Schizosaccharomyces pombe: one gene and its partners. Changing the gene in region 3 together with the main gene of any one other region gives a genetic interaction. Each region holds a gene or a part of one and is shown on either strand. Other genes may lie near its edges.

Region 1 (5,120 bases), 570 kb from region 3:
ATAACAAGAGCAACAAATTGAACTTATTTGTTTTCCTTTGTTAATAACTCTATTTTAACGATGTATAGGATTCGTTCTGACAGCTTCATTTTTATTCCAGCAAAGCGAAGCAAAACGGATCATTCGCTTCGTGCCAAAACAATGTTGTTTTATGGATTAAAAGATGATCTTCTTAAAGCAGCCATGGCTAAGCATTCATAATACGTGATAGATCATGTTATAGACTTCATCTTTGTAGATCATATAAATGCTTAAGTGTTGAGTCAATGACACATAGACTGTACTTGTCTATTTAATTTGTCTAACGTATTACATTCATAAAAAGCGCGTAAACGTGTTGAGTCTTATAGAAGTTGTTATGACTAGCAATTCAAGAACAAGTCTGATTCATAACATTATTTAACATTTCTTTATTCCATTTCATTTTATTCTTTCTCTATGTTAAAATTCTTGACTTTGCAATATAAACAGACAAATATGCACCAAGTAGCTTGTACAAATAGCTCCTAAACGATCTTTGAATGCATGAAGATAATATTCTATATACCAAGGATTTGAATACTTCACGATCTTACTGTATGAATATATAAACAATAAATAGAAAATTTCTAGTGAATCGACAGTACTCTGACTGATTATTAATTTTTTCTTTAAAATGTTTAAATATTCTACTTTAAACGTCTACGGCCATACCTAGGCGAAAACACCAGTTCCCGTCCGATCACTGCAGTTAAGCGTCTGAGGGCCTCGTTAGTACTATGGTTGGAGACAACATGGGAATCCGGGGTGCTGTAGGCTTCCTTTTATTCTTTTTGCTTTTTGTTTGAGCTCATTTGGGAATAATAATCATTTACCTTGATTCGTACTTATTCATTTCAATACCTTTGCACATAATATTATTGTGTACTATGAATGATATTTTGGCAACCAGGAAATCTTCTTACAAGTCGTAATACGACTTAAAGGGAAGATGTATGGTTTATTTTATTGTCATACAGTAACCTTTATTATTGGATTGGAGTTGTAGTTTCGATTTCATCACAATGAATAACGATACTCTAGAGTGTTTTCCAAGATGTAAACGAGAGAAGGAAAGTGTTTTTTGGATGATTATTAAACTTACTATAATTTTTGATTGTTCTCAATATAAAATTTATCTTAGTACATATTTATTTTGTTCTCATGTCAGTTTTGGAGAACATACATTACAATTTCTTGACAAGACAACATTTGGAAAATTGCTCTGTTCATTAAAACATTGAAAACCGTATATGTTTTTTAAATCATTCCTCTTCAATGCATTTGTTGAAGTAATTTTACTGAATCAAAGATATAAATACATGTTTGAAAACAAATACCCGAAACTGCTAAAAAAAAGACTGGGATTGAAAGTTAGACTAGATTCGTTGATCATCTACTTGAAAAATGTGTTTTGTTAGAAATATATAGGAACAGGAAAATCTTAGACTGTATTTCAGGAAAATTTAAACTTAGTAGGTATTAAAATGCTTATAATTCATCGTATTATATTAGGTAACTAGGATGTCAATACGAAAAATAACAATAAAATCAGAGATTCATTATTGACAGGAAATACTTTTTTACGTTTCTTAATCAACGTTTATACTTTTCTCTTTTTTGTTTTGAAAAGCGACTAGTCACAATTGTCAAAATTACATTGTTCACTTTTACTGGCAGCAACTTAAGTAAAGAAGAGATAGAACTCATAGATATAAACATTGTTAAATGAGACCTAGCTGTGTATCTTTTACTACTCTGCGCATATAAACCCAACATTCCCAAGCAATAAGACCATGCACGGCCAAAATCCTTCTATCAACTGTTCATGGCTTAAAACGAATTTCCTTTAACTAAAAAGTGAGATAAATAATTAAAGTATTAAACCTTGCTCCTTTTATTAAAAAAACCTCATATATAAGAAACTCCATACACCTACTGTTTTCCTCCCTATTGTTTTGTTCTTCCACCAAATAAGGGCAACTGCCTTGGCAACTGCACAGACCGAGTAAATCTTCACAATTTCGTTGATATTCGGTTAAAATTTGTAAATATACTAGTGTATTGGATTGTATCTAAGGTTTTCTCGAAACATTTGTTCGTGTTCAAATTCCGCGCTGTTCTAATAGATCACAAGATCTCGAGCTGGTGCGTTTTCGTTTGGATGGAACCCACAGACACGGCTTTGCTTCTAATAGCTTAAGTTTTTTTTTTTTGAAAATAGTTTTCATTTGATAAGAAAAGAATAAGACTTCAAGTCCGGTAAGTCTATGAGTGGTGCCTAAGATCCTTCGTCGTTAAACATTTGAAGTTATTGCCTTCTAAAACGTTTCATCTACTTTTTACAGCAAATTTTGAAACTGTTTTTTGCATCTTAACCAAAAGTATTTTATTTTGGCGATAAATTCAAAGAGTATCTGTTATTTGCTAAATTTGTTGTGTCCATCAAGGCTATCAAATTACTGCTTCATTTTGTAAAAACAATTTTTCTTCTCGTATTTTAAGATTTTCCACTATGGAATCTCAGTCAAAAAAGTCGTCCGCCTTAAAAACTCTCTCCAGCTTATGGAATGGATCCTCTAGCGCCACTTCGGATCCAGTTACTGTTTTGGATCGAAGCCGGACCCATCACCATCGTGGTCGAAGCACTTCTTCCAAAGCTCAACCGTTCAGATTGGACGACTCTGTTTACTCAGATCAACCCCCAAAAGATCATATCTCTTTGGCCCGGTCCATAACTAGACCCGAATCTGCTAGTGAGTCTAAAATCTATGCACCTTCTGCGAGATCTTCTCTTTCCTTGGAAGCTGTTGTAGGCAAAAAAGTGTCTGCAAAGTTTGCCAAATATTTGTCACAGACAGATGACGATTGGGGAGTTTCGAATATTAAAGCCTCAAAATCTCTTCCTCGTATGGCTCGAAGTACTACTCCAAATTCTTCAAGCCGCTCCTTATTTCCTCAAAATGGCGTGGATACTACCACTTCTAGACAAAAGCTTCATTCGTCTGGTCGTTTTCCTTTACCCGCTAAACTAGCCCATCGTTCTGTAGAAGTTGAGGTTGCTGAAAGCAATGCGCTTGTCTCTCGGATCAAGAAGTTTTCGCGAATTCTTGATGCTCCAATTGTGGATTTAAATGCGCTTCGTACATTGGCTTGGAATGGAATTCCCTCCGAACATAGACCTATTGTCTGGAAATACTTGTTAGGATATTTACCTTGTAATGCTTCTCGTCGTGAAGTCACTTTAAAGCGAAAGAGAGACGAATATAACGCAGCAAAAGATTCCTGCTTTAATACAAATACAGAGCCACCACCTTTGGATCAAACTATTTGGCGACAAATTGTCCTTGACGTTCCGAGGACGAACCCCTCTATTCTTCTTTACCAAAACCCATTGACGCAGCGTATGCTTGAGCGTATTTTATATGTTTGGGCCTCACGGCACCCAGCCAGCGGATATGTACAAGGCATCAGCGATTTAGTTACTCCTTTTATTCAGGTGTTTTTGTCCGAATATATCGGCGATAAGGACCCAATGACATATGACATTGCTCTTCTTGATGAAACTAATCGTAATGATATTGAGGCTGATGCTTACTGGTGTCTTTCTAAATTGTTAGATGGTATCCAAGATAACTATATACATGCACAGCCTGGAATCCGTCGACAGGTGAATAATCTGCGAGAGCTTACTTTACGTATAGATGAGCCATTAGTAAAACATCTTCAAATGGAGGGTGTTGATTTCCTTCAGTTTAGTTTTCGCTGGATGAACTGTCTTTTAATGCGCGAGCTTAGTATTTCGAATATCATTCGGATGTGGGATACATACATGGCGGAAGGTGTCCAAGGATTTTCTGAGTTTCACCTCTACGTATGTGCTGCATTTTTAGTGAAATGGTCGAGTGAATTACAAAAGATGGAATTTCAGGATATATTAATTTTTCTGCAGTCTATTCCGACAAAAGATTGGAGCACAAAGGATATCGAAATTTTACTATCTGAAGCTTTCCTATGGAAATCATTGTACAGTGGAGCTGGTGCACATTTGAAAAGGTAAGGCATAGTAGCCATTTCGTTTTCCCTTTTCAGAGCATTCGTCTTCTTCCTTAATCCCTTGCTTATTTTGGCATAGCAGCCTTTTTCAAATGCCATCCTTCCTATGCATTTTTATAATTAGGTTGACAAATCTCCTTCGTTAATTCATTGTGTTGCTTTTCTATGTTTATGAGCTTATGAGTCTAAGTCTTACTTCTTCTAATAAATTTTCCTTTCATTCACCTAAATAACTTTTCAAGTTTGCTCCTTAACTCAGCTGGATTGAGTTTGCGACTTTTAGAATTTATCATGCAGGATAAAGTATTTCTCTTGAAGAAAGTCTGAACTACCTTAATCATTTTTGGGAAGTTATTAACCCTTGAATTAAATTGTATATTCACTATTACTTATATGTAATTTGTCTTTACTCTTACGTTCGACCGTTCTCTAACCCTTTTCCAGTTTGACTTACGTTACTACTTTACTATTCAACGATTGTTTAGTCCATGGCGTGATACTTTACATGAATCGTTATTAATATCATTTTTTTTTCTCTTCTATGCTAGTCATGTTTTCTTTGGTTTTATCCAAGATTGTACATTACGATTTCAAAGTACGACTTTTGTATTGGTAAGAGATGATGAAAATCGACAAGACTGTACTACATGGTCTGTGTCTTCTTCCTTGATTCGACCAAAATGTATGGATGAATTAGAGTAGATAATGAAAACGCTGTGACAATTTTTGAATATTTATACAACTTAATACAGTTTTTGAACTGAAATAAAGAAGCACGTTCCATTGCGTTATAGAATCATTGTATTACTTTTCATGAAGAAGAAATCATTTATTTATAACTATAGGATCAATTTCTTATCTTTTAAATTTCAATACTCATAGCTTTTTCATGCTGATTTTGCAACTGCTTACCACAACAGCATTTGCAGTGACTGTTTTTCAAACTATATTTACTATATAAGGGAGACTTTGCCTATTACCTCTACGTCTGGCTTAGGAGCGCAAATTAAGCGATAAGAAAGAAATGGATCTGTATCTTTTAGCAA
Region 2 (4,037 bases), 3.3 Mb from region 3:
CCAGTGATAACGTTATCCGTCTTGGCTTTACGCCAAAGTTTAAGGACATAGAAACTCTCGTAAATAATCTCACTTATCAGACTGCGGATGCCAAATCCCAACTTACCCAACCTGTACCATTTGCCAAAGCTTGTGGATCTGGCAAAACTCTGTTATATGATCCCCCGATCGAAGAGTTTAGCATTTTGCAAACCAAGGTTTCTCCTGGTCAAAAACAATGCATACGCGGAATCAATGGCCCTAGCATTTTACTTGTTACTGAGGGTTCAGGCATATTGAATGGAGACAAAGGAGATGTAGCATCGATATCTCCTGGATTTGTTTATTTTATTTCCGCAAATTTTCCATTAACGATCTCTGCGACTTCAGAACCTGTTGTCGTTTACCAGGCATTCTGTGAGATTTAGTTACTCTGCAGCTTTTTACTACTATCAGCACCATTATAATAAAACAATACATGGAATTTTTAAATTTTTAACGATACTGGATAGGATGGACAAAATTAAGTAAAAACAAATTTATTTTTTCGTAGATGCAATGCATAAATAATGAGCGTTTTTAAGAAATGTAACAAAATGTAGAGAAGAAATATAGACAAAAAAATGAAATGAAGAAGATGAACCCCAAAAATAAAATAAAAAATGAATCCAGAAGAAAAATGAAAAAAATGAAAAAAATAAAAAAAATGAAACCAGAAAAAAAATGCGAAAACTAATCAACAACGAAATAAAGCATAAAAATGGGAATGACAAAAGTAAAACGAATGCAAAAATAATTCTAATAAACAAATTTTTTTGACCAAGCATCCACTTTTAACACGCAATTTAGTACAACTCAAAGTAGGCATTGCCTCCGGTGACAGAGACTGTACAACCACTGCTGTCAGCGGTGGAACCATGGAATGATCCGTCTTCATAGTAGCAATCACCACTAAGGGACCCACCATCAGATTTAATACGGATATTGTAATCAAGTTTAGCAGATGATAAAGGATTGAAAGACATAGAAAGCCAAGTCTTGCCGTCAGTGTAACCAGACCCGAAGTTCATAGGAGCCCAATTGCCATAATCATCGCCCTCATTACCCCAAACACAGACATCTTCTGCACTTCTGCCAGATTTATTAACATAGTATTGAGCGGATGTCTTCTTTCCTCCCCAATTATAGTATGAATCTTCATCAACATCAGAAAGAGGTTGTTTTGAACCACCATCAATATTGGTAGGGATATTCATGTTCTCAGTTCCGGGGTAATCGGTACGGCAAATTGCGACATTGGAACTCAATGTATTTTTAACATAGGCAGTACCCTTTCCATCTTCACAAAGATTAGAATTATCCTTCTGGGTGAGATATAATTTACCGTTCTTGCAATACAAACCACCAACGGAAACGCCATTGTCAGGCTGCTCAGACGGCCATTGGGTCTTAGACATTCCGGGCTTGCATGCATAGGAACAGTATGTGTTATCTTGGCATGTAGAAGCTGTTCCGTATTTACCATCATTCTTCTGAACACCAGACCATCCTCCAAAACCTAAGTAATCAAGGCGGACAACGCCATTTTGATCATCAGGAAAAGAGGAGCAGTCGTATACGCCGTCAGGAAAACCACCGTCTCTTTTTGAAAAAGCGGTAGTGTTTGTGACATTGACACCAACAGTTATATTGCTAGCATTCAAACCGGCATGATGGTGATGGTGATAGGGAGCATTACCAAGAGGCATAGCTGAAACCAAAGGAATGGCGGAAACCGCAAAACAAAGAAAGTTGTTAAAGAGCATTTTTAGATTTAAAAGATTTGACAGGAATCTAACGATTGACTTTATAAACGATAGGATATGCTAGTAACTTGATACTAGAAAATAAAAGAAAGATGGTAAAGAATATAATGGTCTTTACCTTTTGCGGTTCTGATTGTTTAATTTCAGCTCACGGCTTTTCCCTAAAAATCAGCTCAGCTTTATATACATTTCTTTTTTCAAGCACTTCACCATCTTTTGATTAAGAGCCGTGGCGTTTTGCCACTAATTAACCATGAAAGCCTGTAAGTTTTCAACGTTGATTTTTTCAGAAAATTTCTAACCATAAACCCGAAATAATTAGCGCCAAAACAGTCAACTATTGCGCTCCAATCATTGCTTGCCTTGCTATCGGCTTTGTATTCATTGGCTGATAACTTAATTAAAAATGAACTTAAAAGTCAGTTGATAAATTCAACCAATTAAATGCGTGAATTTGATCTACCCCAGGAAAATTTATACTGTCCCGGGGTCGCGGGGCGTTCAATCATTCATTTCAAAGCAAATTATTATTATTTCCAAGCCAAGTAATTTAATTTTTGTTTATCGCTTTAGCTTTCTTATCATAAGGAAGTTCTTGGTCCCCTGGGCCTTTTGCAATTGAATTGCGCGGTGTACGTAAGCCTAATGACATCCCTGTATACCTAACTTACAAATACGTTGGCTCGACTCAACGTTATATTGATTTTCTCCTAATACTATTAAATATATTTAATAATCTCTTGGGAAAGTAATCTGGTACATACAAATCATCCTAGATATAAGAGGCTCGGTGCATTTCGGCAAATGATGTTCTGCAGCTCATTAAATATGATATAATATTAATTAATTAATATCGTGTTTACACTCGGTTTATCGGTTTGCTATGCTAAGAACTTTTACGGATAACAATTTAATTATTTATCTTGGTAGCGTATTTGACGCTTCTTTGGATACTGAGATTAAGTCAAATTTTGAATGGAGAGAAGTCGAATAATAGCCCAATGCCTGCCGAAATTACCCGATGCATGTCATTGACGAGACAAAAAATTTCTTTCAACGGCCTAAGAAAATGATGTACTAGAAACGCCATCTTAGTCTGACATTTTACATTTTACGCTCATGCTCAAATTTTATTAATAAATTATTATATGTGTCCGTGTCATTTAGAATATGACAGGGGAGGGTAATCTCTTTCCCAACTTTATTGGCGTGTAATGAAATTCGCGAGCTACTATTGTGTCTGCATTCTTTAGCTGCAAAAACGCAACGGAAAAGACAATTTTATAATATGAATACTTCACGTGTTCATTGTTTTTGTCTTTAGAGAATTTATTTGAAAATGCTGAGGAGGTTAATATCTGGTATACAATTAAAACACTATCGCAAATAATGTAAAAAAAAATAATATTGAGGAGCCATAACTAAGTCATATAACTTTTCTTATTGAACTATTGTTATGTCGCGATTTAGTCGTATTTACCATAAACTATAAAAACTTTTCTTAATCAACAGTAAAATTGTTACTTATTCTGGTGTTACTTACACCTCCGCTTGCGTAGAGTGAATTTAAAATTCATTGCCAAGAGTTTATGGTCTTTACGATCTATCTCGCTGAACTTCAAAAAAACCAAGAAAAAGTATTGCTCTAATGCATTAAGACGATAACTATTTGCAAAATAATTTCATATACATGTTTCCCAACGGGCAGTTGTTTTAAGTAAATTCATCAGTATCGATTCTTGAACCAGGTTCTCTAACATCATAAAAGAACTTGACAAATACTTTTCTACTAAGTGTCTGTAAACTACTTGAAATGAATGAGAAGAAAAAAGATAGCCTATCTGTTTTAGATTCCAATGAATTTTTCGGTGAGACAACTATGGTATCACCGAGTATTGATGTTTCCTCTTCTCCCCGGCCAAATGTCGAGAGATTTTCTCCATGTTCCACTAAAAAAGATCTCCTGGAAGGAAATAATATAATGACCAGAATTCCCGAGGAGCTTAGTCGTGTTAGTCTACAATTTGATAGCAAGGGAAGTCAGCAATCGATGATATTTACTAACAATCGATGTTTATCTGATAAAGAAAATTTGGAAAACTTGCAAAATCTTTTATATCTACATTGTGATCTTAACCGGCCCCATTTGAGTTGTGAGCTGCCGTCAGAGCATCGCGAAAAGTGCCTTAAACGCCGTAACTCTAGTCTCAGCTCTAATTTGCATGCTAATAAGCGGTTTCTCTTCAATTCTCA
Region 3 (4,038 bases):
ATGAAAAAAATGCTTCAAAAGAAACGAGTAGTGACAAAATAATCTCCCTGGATAAACGTCCTTTGCTTGCAAAGATTTTCAAGGTTATACATCATGCTTCTAGGGGAATTCTCACATATGTCAGAGTCAATGAAGGGACTTTAAGCCGAGGAATGATGATGTTTAATCCAAGAACTAAAAAGTCAGAAAGAGCAATTCGTTTATACAATGTATTCGCTGACCAGACTCAAGAAGTTGATTGCATTTCCGCTGGAAACATAGGAGTGATTAGTGGGATTAAACAATTTCATACCGGAGATATCATTATTAATAAAGAGAACTCAAAAAATTTTCATGAGTACCTTTCTGGAAATCAAAGTGTTATCAGTATTCCTGAACCTGTTTGCATTGCTTCTATAGAACCTTATTCGCTAAAAGATGAACCCGCACTTTTAGAAGCATTGGCTAACATGAATCGTGAAGATCCTTCATTTAGATATACCCAAGATTTAGAGAATGGACAACTATTGATACAAGGGATGGGCATTATGCATTTACAAGTTTCTTATGAAAGACTGGTGTCTGAATTTGGAGCTCGAGCATCTTTAGGAAAAGTTCAAGTTGGTTATCGTGAAACTTTGATTGATGTAAGCTTTAATTCAGTTACCTTAAGCACAGAAAATAAAGAGAATCTCATTATTAATGTTTACTTAATCCCTATTTCTGATGAAGGAGATGAAACCTTGAAAAAATATTTTTCTGAAGGTGAGATCCAAAAAGTTCGAAGTAAAGGGCAAGAAGATGGAGTTTTGTTTTATGGCTGGAAGCCGGAAAACTCGTGTACTTTACCGGATCATCTCTCTTTCCAACGTATTCAAGAAAACATCTACTTTGGAATAGTTGCAGGTCTATCGCATGGGCCTTTACATGGGTTTCCTCTCACGAATTTGCAGTCATTTTGTACCATTTCTTCTTTTCTATCTAATGACTTTCCGTTGTCACTTTTGACACAAGCATCGATGAAAGCTACCAAAAATGCAGTATTTTCATTATACAAGAGAAGTCCCAAAAGTTTCAGAATATTAGAACCTTATATGGATGTTACAATTACAACTCCTGAAGAATATGTTGGTATTGTTTCTAAAGATCTTGTAGGCAAGCGGGGAGCCACGATCAAAGAAATTACAGAGATTGGAAAGAATGCTGCTTCGAAAGACTCGCAGATAGCGATAGGAATATTAGGTGAAAGATATCTACCAGCTGATGAACCTAGTTCTGTTAAAGCAAACAATGCTTCTTCTCTACTACAGAGTTCATCTGTCATTAAATGTATTCGTGCTCAGGTGCCTTTGGAGCAGATTCTCGACTACAACAGTGTTATAAGCTCTTTAACAAAAGGTAATGCAAAATTTCTTATGTCTCATCCTATGGAATCTCAAACTCCCAAGCTGGTCAATTACGGTTCTTCCTTTCATCCTATGTCTATGCAGAGACAAAAACGAATATTTCCTTAAGGTCAGAAATGTGGGTTAATGGGTAAAATAAATACATAGAAAAAAAGATATAATTCTATTTTTCTATAAAAATCATCCTTATCATTAAAAAGCTGTATGTTTGACATTCTTTTTCTATACGTTTCGGTGTATGCATACACACACGTCTGCAACGGAGTTGTGTACATGTTGTCCCCAACGTCAGATGGAACCTACCGTTAGCATATATCGACTATAATTACTACAAAACGCCTAGACGAATTTAATGATGTCCGCTGAGGAAACTGTAACCCAAAACGCTCCTAATACTGTTCAAGATCAAGTTGAAGCATCTGTAGATGCTGCTGTACATGCATCTGCAGAACAATCTAACACACCTGCTCAACAAGCGGACGACTTTCGTGTTTTTGTAGGGCGTTTAAGTACGTCTACCAAAAAGAGTGAAATCCGTTCATTGTTTGAAACGGTTGGTACTGTGTATGTAAACTATTACTGGTTTTAGCAATTTCGAGTTAGAACAAAATTTTCTTATGTTTAAGCGCTAAAGCTAAAGCTCTCTCTATTAAAATCAGTGCATAATTTGGAGTTGTTGAAAATTTACTTTTTAGAAGTCATACTTTATATTTTTCACAAAAACGATTTTAAAACGGAGCTATGCGAGCTTATATTTACTCGAAACTATCTGTGCTACTTTAATTATATTTGATCATCTACTAATGCTTTTTAGTCGTAAAGTAACTATTCCTTTTCGTCGTGTTCGCCGTGGTACCCGTCTCGTACCTTCTGGCATTGCTTTTGTTACATTCAACAATCAGGAGGATGTTGACAAAGCTATAGAGACATTGAATGGTAAAACATTGGATGATCGCGAGATTGTTGTTCAAAAAGCTCGTCCTGTCCAAGAGCAACCTATAAAAGATAGGAAAAAGGTAAGTATACTTTAGTTCGCAAAGCTTTTATCAATATCATTCTGACACATTAGTCAAAAAATAAAAATGGTGAAGAACCTGAAACTTCAACTTCTGTCGAAAATGCTGAATCTGCTAAGGGCTCCAGTGATGAAAATGAAGCTAATACCGCAACAGCTCCTTCAAGTAATGAAGCAAATGGTGTCGATAAGAAACAAAATGAGATCAAAGGAAAGGGTGGGTCTGGTAAAAACAAGGCTAAGCCTTTGCCTCCCAACTCTATTTATGTTTCAGGCCTCTCCGTTACTTTAACAAATGAAGGCCTTAAAGAAATGTTCGATGCTTACAATCCTACTCGTGCTCGTATTGCTGTTCGTTCCCTTCCTCCTTATATTATTCGCCGTATAAAATTACGTGGTGAGCAACGTCGTGGTCGTGGTTTTGGATTTGTGTCTTTTGCTAATGCTGAGGATCAATCCAGAGCTATTGAGGAAATGAATGGAAAGCAAGTAGGTGACCTTACTTTGGTTGTTAAAAGTGCTGTCTTCCGTGAAGATAAGCAAAATGATGAAAATGAAAAAAATGAAAACGAACCTATTGAGGCTTCAGAATCTGCTCCCACTAACGTGTCTGATTCTACTGAGCCCAAAGCATCTGAGGTTGACTCAGAAGAAAAATCAGGCGTTACTGCTAGTGCTATAACTGCCTAAAAGTTAAAATATGATTTGTGATTATTCCTGGCTCTTCGTTCCTTTTATAATGAGCCTCGCCATTATACTTATATATGTCCCGAATACCCTCATGTTTCCGCACGTCACGTTCTCTCCCTTAGCATGGAACCCATGCATGTTCCTGGTAAAAAGTTGCAGCTTTGTAGACTAGACTATATTCATTGCTTGGAGTTCTGTGCCTTATATATTTTCCGTTTGTATCAAAAATACATTCGGGCCTATTGTTAAAAATAGTTTTGCATCTTTGTACATTTGAAACGTTAAAGTGCTTCAAGTAAAAATATACATTTTCTTCCAAAATTGTGAACGTTGTAATAATTGATTCACGCAAAATATAAGTAACTAGTTAAACGAATGTTATAGGCTTCTTAAGATTTAGAATCTATTGTGCTGCAATGTCTAAAACACAGGTGAGTATTAAATAACTTAAGTGCTTTGAGTCACATAAAAAGAGTCAGAGGATGCATTGTGAAGCATAGTTATTCAAAGAGAGCAGAAGTCTTTAATAACTTTAGCAATATAATAGAAATCTGATTCTTCTAAATACACCGCACCGCTAAGTCTAGTGTAAAATTTTCCTTTAAATTCCATAAATCGAAGGAATGTATTATATTTAGGCCAAAATACTTTCTGTGTTTCTATGGAGGGAATGTTGCGTAAGGGAACTTCGACGTTTACCATTGCAACTGGGTATGGAGGTTTGATAAAGGAAGTGCCCAGTTCTTTAGAAATAATTTCGGCTCCCTTTAAAGCTATTTCATGACAATATTGTTGAATCTTTTCTTCCCCTCCAATGGATTTTCGAAACTTAATAGCCTCACCAACAGCTATAAACTTAGGTAAATCTTGCTTGAAAGAATTGACAAACCGATTGGTAAGAGTATCTACGGCAATTGATTCCTTTTCTCTTAATCCATAACCGTATGA
Region 4 (3,991 bases), 1.0 Mb from region 3:
ATTCGTAATCATCAAAGGGTCAGCCTTGTACGCCAAATGGGATGCATATCCCATTGTTAGGTATAGTAGTGTCCATGCTGGTCCAAAGGCAGATGCAGGGGGGTGGAACTTTGGTTGCTTTTTGTTCTCATAATCCTTTCTTGGCTTGTAGGAATTCCCAATGAACCAGCCGCAGGCGACTGGAACGAGAGAAGCGGACCACCAATTTTTGGAGATGCTAGTGAATACTTGATAGTTCAAATCCATCACACTTAATAATATCGTTTACTGTTGATTAGCGAAATCGGGAAAAAAAAATTCCACGAATGTAAAGAGTACTAACAACGACTGCTACTAAAAAACCATAAGTATTTCGAATCTTAATGCAGCTCGTTTACAAACAGCAGAGATAATGTCGAGATACAAAAGGTCTTTCAAACCATGCTAAGCAAATAGACATGGAGTAGCTAGAGTTAAGTTTGATAATTAAAACTGACATACATTAAACTAGAAATTTGGAGAAGAGTTGTTGAAACTTCTAATTGAATTGAAGATTAGTAAAATTGGACCATAAAGCTTAACCATCTTTCAATCTTCCATACATTTTAAAAACGGGCACAGTATCGATATGAGAGAAATACGATACTAAACTAAAATAAAAGGAAATACTTAATTGTAGTTTGATCTTGGAAGCTACTCGAATGTATAATTCACCATATTTATAACCTCGTCTATTACGTCACAGAAGGGAAGGAGGAGCGAGGTATTGGGGTATAATACGTGTTCATACTGCGTAAGGTGGTGGTAGATGTGTCTCGCTAAAAAGTGTTTATAAGGAGTTTTCCATAAGATAATATTTTCAGTACAACTAAATTTTTTATATTATTAATATTATATTATAAAATTATGTATATCTATTAGTAGCAGCGCTTGTTTTCTGTAATAGAATATATTTGGGCTGGTCAAATGCGGTTAATTATCATCACACAGATGAGATTTATGGGCAAATTTAGTTATAAAATTAGATAAGACAACAAAGAGAGAAGAAAGGTTTATTTCGGTGCTTTTGTTTCTTACTTTCAGAAGAATCTTTCTCTTGGGCATTATCTGGATGTCTTACTGCCCACAGAACAAACAAACTGTCATTGAATGGCTGAGTTCTTGTTTCAATATCTAATATCGCTATACAATAGCTCTCAAAGTAATGCACCACTACTACAACTTAAGTTCTTCACTTTTTGAGTAAGGATGCAAACTATGAGACCGGGTTTTTTTAGCTCAAATGTCGCTGAAAAGCGTTTTCTTTATAGTTTTATCATGAATGATCTCATATATTGATAAGTAGCAATCGTGTCTTTCCATGTCGAAGCCTCAAAACATTATATCCATATAATGCAAAACCATTTATTCCACCACTTCTAATGAAATTTATAAGTTGGTAAAATGTCCGTATTTCAAATTGCTTCTCCACAATATCTTCCATTTATGAGCAAACGATATTACCTCTATATTGTCAAGTTAAAATGTTTACATTGATATATTATATTAAACTATAACATAACTATATTACCTTATAAGGCGATTTCTGCTGGATGCAGTTAGTGAACAAGAATTATCTGAGGATAGACCTCTAATTGCAGTCAGAGATTTACTACAGATGATTATACAAGAAAAATTTAGATATATTTTTTAAGCGATGTAATTTATTGATAGTGACATGAAAGTAAGCCAACCCTCGAAACCCAAATTTACCACCATTATGCTCTTGCTCTATCAATTAAACACAAAATTAACGACACGCTTTTCATCCTTATCTTTTTATAATTGCATTGTGAAATAAACTATCATTATTCTATTTAACGCAATGATAAACTTCGCAATCAGGCTTTACGTTATGGCTTTGCTTCCGTGAATTGTTCCCTACGCGAATCCTGCTGAATCCACTAAAAGATCCAATGCAGCTTAGCTAGCGAACATTAGCGCAGCGATCAACTGACATAAGATATCTGGGTATGCCGACGCTTCTCTTTTCCATATCACAAAAATGAGTTGGCATGGATTCAAAAAGGCCGTTAACCGAGCGGGTACCTCGGTATGTATTTGAGTGTTGAAGAATTGTCTAACATTGTGGTAGGTTATGATGAAGACGGGTCATGTTGAGCGAACGGTGGATCGGGAATTTGAAACAGAGGAAAGACGTTATAGAACTATGGAATCAGCTGCAAAGAAGCTTCAAAAAGAAGCCAAAGGTTATCTCGATGCTTTGAGAGCCATGACTGCGTCTCAAACTAGAATCGCTAACACAATCGATGCATTTTACGGTGATGCTGGATCGAAGGATGGTGTCAGTGCATACTATCGACAAGTCGTCGAAGACTTGGACGCCGATACCGTAAAAGAGTTGGACGGTCCTTTCCGGACAACGGTGTTGGATCCCATCTCAAGGTTCTGCAGTTACTTTCCCGATATTAATGCCGCTATCACGAAGCGTAATCACAAATTACTTGATCATGATGCTATGAGGGCTAAGGTTCAAAAACTGGTCGACAAGCCTTCCAACGACACTACTAAGCTTCCCCGTACCGAGAAAGAAGCAGCCATGGCGAAGGAGGTCTACGAGACACTCAATAATCAACTGGTCAGTGAGCTTCCGCAACTAATTGCTCTTCGTGTGCCTTATTTGGACCCTAGCTTTGAAGCCCTTGTCAAAATTCAGCTCCGCTTTTGTAGGGAGGGATATGAGAAAATGGCTCAAGTTCAGCAATACTTTGACAACTCTGTACGCGAAGACTATTCCAATGGTTTGTTGGATGATAAAGTTGAACAAGTTTTACAGAGTATGCGGGATCTTTCCATCGCCGGTTTGAACAACAGTCAGTAGACATCGGTTTTTTAAACACGATTGTATGTGTGCATAGCGCTATCACTCTGTTTTCTCTTTCCTTTTCTCCTCCGAAATAATTGTTACTACACGTAACCATGATCTCTTATCCCTCAATACTTTTTGTTTAACATATCCTTTCTCTTTTACTACTTTATTACCATCTTATCTTGTTTATCTGAAGTGGTTCACGGAATGTTTTCAATTTATTCAATTTTTTGTGATACATAAATATTTTCCATACTTATCTATCCTCGAGTATTTTCTATTGGTGTTACTGGAATTGAAGGGAAAGCCAGCACATATTTATTAAAGACTCAACTGTGAAGCTTCTACATCCTTTCAGTTTCGTAACGTTTCCTTTATAATTTTTTAATTGGGAATAGTTATCAAATTATCAGATAAACAAATTGGTTTTCCAATATTGTCTGTCGACCCAGCGATTCATCTACTAAACTGTGCTTATTTTCTATCTCGTACCAAGTTTTGTTCTAATAAATAACTATTGTTAAGTAAGTTTAGACCAAATCTTAAAATATAATAATTAGAAAAAAAAATGCTTTTGTTGACTTACGAATTATTAATTTGAATTGTAATTTATTAATTTTCCAAACAATAGCTATCTTGTAAGCTGTAAGTCAAGTTGGAAGTGGGTTTATTTCTATCTGTGCAGCGTTCGATGTTTGATTTTCGAACATGGACTTAAGCGTTCAATTTTACAATAGCTGTGAATGTAGATTATCGCTACTTTAAAATCTAAAATATAGTATGGAGCTACAACTGCTAGTAACGTCTATACAGGAAATGATATTAACCAAAAATCTTTCTGACTAAGAACATAAATTTAGTAATCTAATTCTGGAACCTCCTGGTTAGGCGCATCCAAATCTTGATAAGTTCTATAGAATTCCCGTCTGTGGATCATGGGTTCTTGCCTCGAATAAGATTTTTGTGATGATGCTCCAGAAGTTATCTCCTCGTCATTTCGTCGACTATAGCTTGTTGTTGGAAATGTATAGTTTGCGTTAATATTTCTGAAACCAACGTAGGGCTTGTTTAAAATCTGTAAGGATACATACGACGTGCTTACCACTTTGGGATCCATAGCCCTACATGGGTCAAGCACATATC

Evidence for each region.
Region 1: mutations in tcg1 (region 3) and gyp1 together harm fitness more than expected from each alone (negative genetic interaction), as found in Schizosaccharomyces pombe (one large-scale study listed by BioGRID).
Region 2: mutations in tcg1 (region 3) and psu2 together harm fitness more than expected from each alone (negative genetic interaction), as found in Schizosaccharomyces pombe (one large-scale study listed by BioGRID).
Region 4: mutations in tcg1 (region 3) and hob3 together harm fitness more than expected from each alone (negative genetic interaction), as found in Schizosaccharomyces pombe (one large-scale study listed by BioGRID).

What each region holds. Positions count from the first base shown.
Region 1 is NC_003423.3:782,580-787,699, forward strand, and holds gyp1 (GTPase-activating protein Gyp1), read left to right. Parts: upstream 1-1,986; 5' UTR 1,987-2,533; coding exon 2,534-4,078; 3' UTR 4,079-4,566; downstream 4,567-5,120. Other genes in the region: SPOM_SPBC530.02 (transporter), read left to right, coding at 5,099-5,120. UniProt on the Schizosaccharomyces pombe protein: Stimulates specifically the GTPase activity of ypt1. Functions on the Golgi as a negative regulator of ypt1.
Region 2 is NC_003423.3:3,465,746-3,469,782, forward strand, and holds psu2 (beta-glucosidase Psu2), read right to left. Parts: upstream 2,073-4,037; 5' UTR 1,785-2,072; coding exon 825-1,784; 3' UTR 525-824; downstream 1-524. Other genes in the region: mpi1 (mannose-6-phosphate isomerase), read left to right, coding at 1-407; cullin 1 adaptor protein Pop1, read left to right, coding at 3,598-4,037.
Region 3 is NC_003423.3:213,407-217,444, forward strand, and holds tcg1 (single-stranded telomeric-binding protein Tgc1), read left to right. Parts: upstream 1-1,692; 5' UTR 1,693-1,737; coding exon 1,738-1,949; intron 1,950-2,115; exon of another isoform or gene 2,116-2,199; coding exon 2,200-2,401; exon of another isoform or gene 2,402-2,454; coding exon 2,455-3,090; 3' UTR 3,091-3,495; downstream 3,496-4,038. Other genes in the region: mef2 (mitochondrial translation elongation factor G), read left to right, coding at 1-1,493; ergothioneine biosynthesis methyltransferase Egt2, read right to left, coding at 3,595-4,038. UniProt on the Schizosaccharomyces pombe protein: Binds single-stranded telomeric sequences of the type (TG[1-3])n in vitro. Has a role in meiosis.
Region 4 is NC_003423.3:1,221,229-1,225,219, reverse strand, and holds hob3 (BAR adaptor protein Hob3), read left to right. Parts: upstream 1-2,014; 5' UTR 2,015-2,023; coding exon 2,024-2,071; exon of another isoform or gene 2,072-2,113; coding exon 2,114-2,860; 3' UTR 2,861-3,476; downstream 3,477-3,991. Other genes in the region: tsp0 (tspO-like protein), read right to left, coding at 1-246; pir2 (C2H2-type zinc finger domain-containing protein), read right to left, coding at 3,705-3,991. UniProt on the Schizosaccharomyces pombe protein: Involved in cytokinesis and septation where it has a role in the localization of F-actin.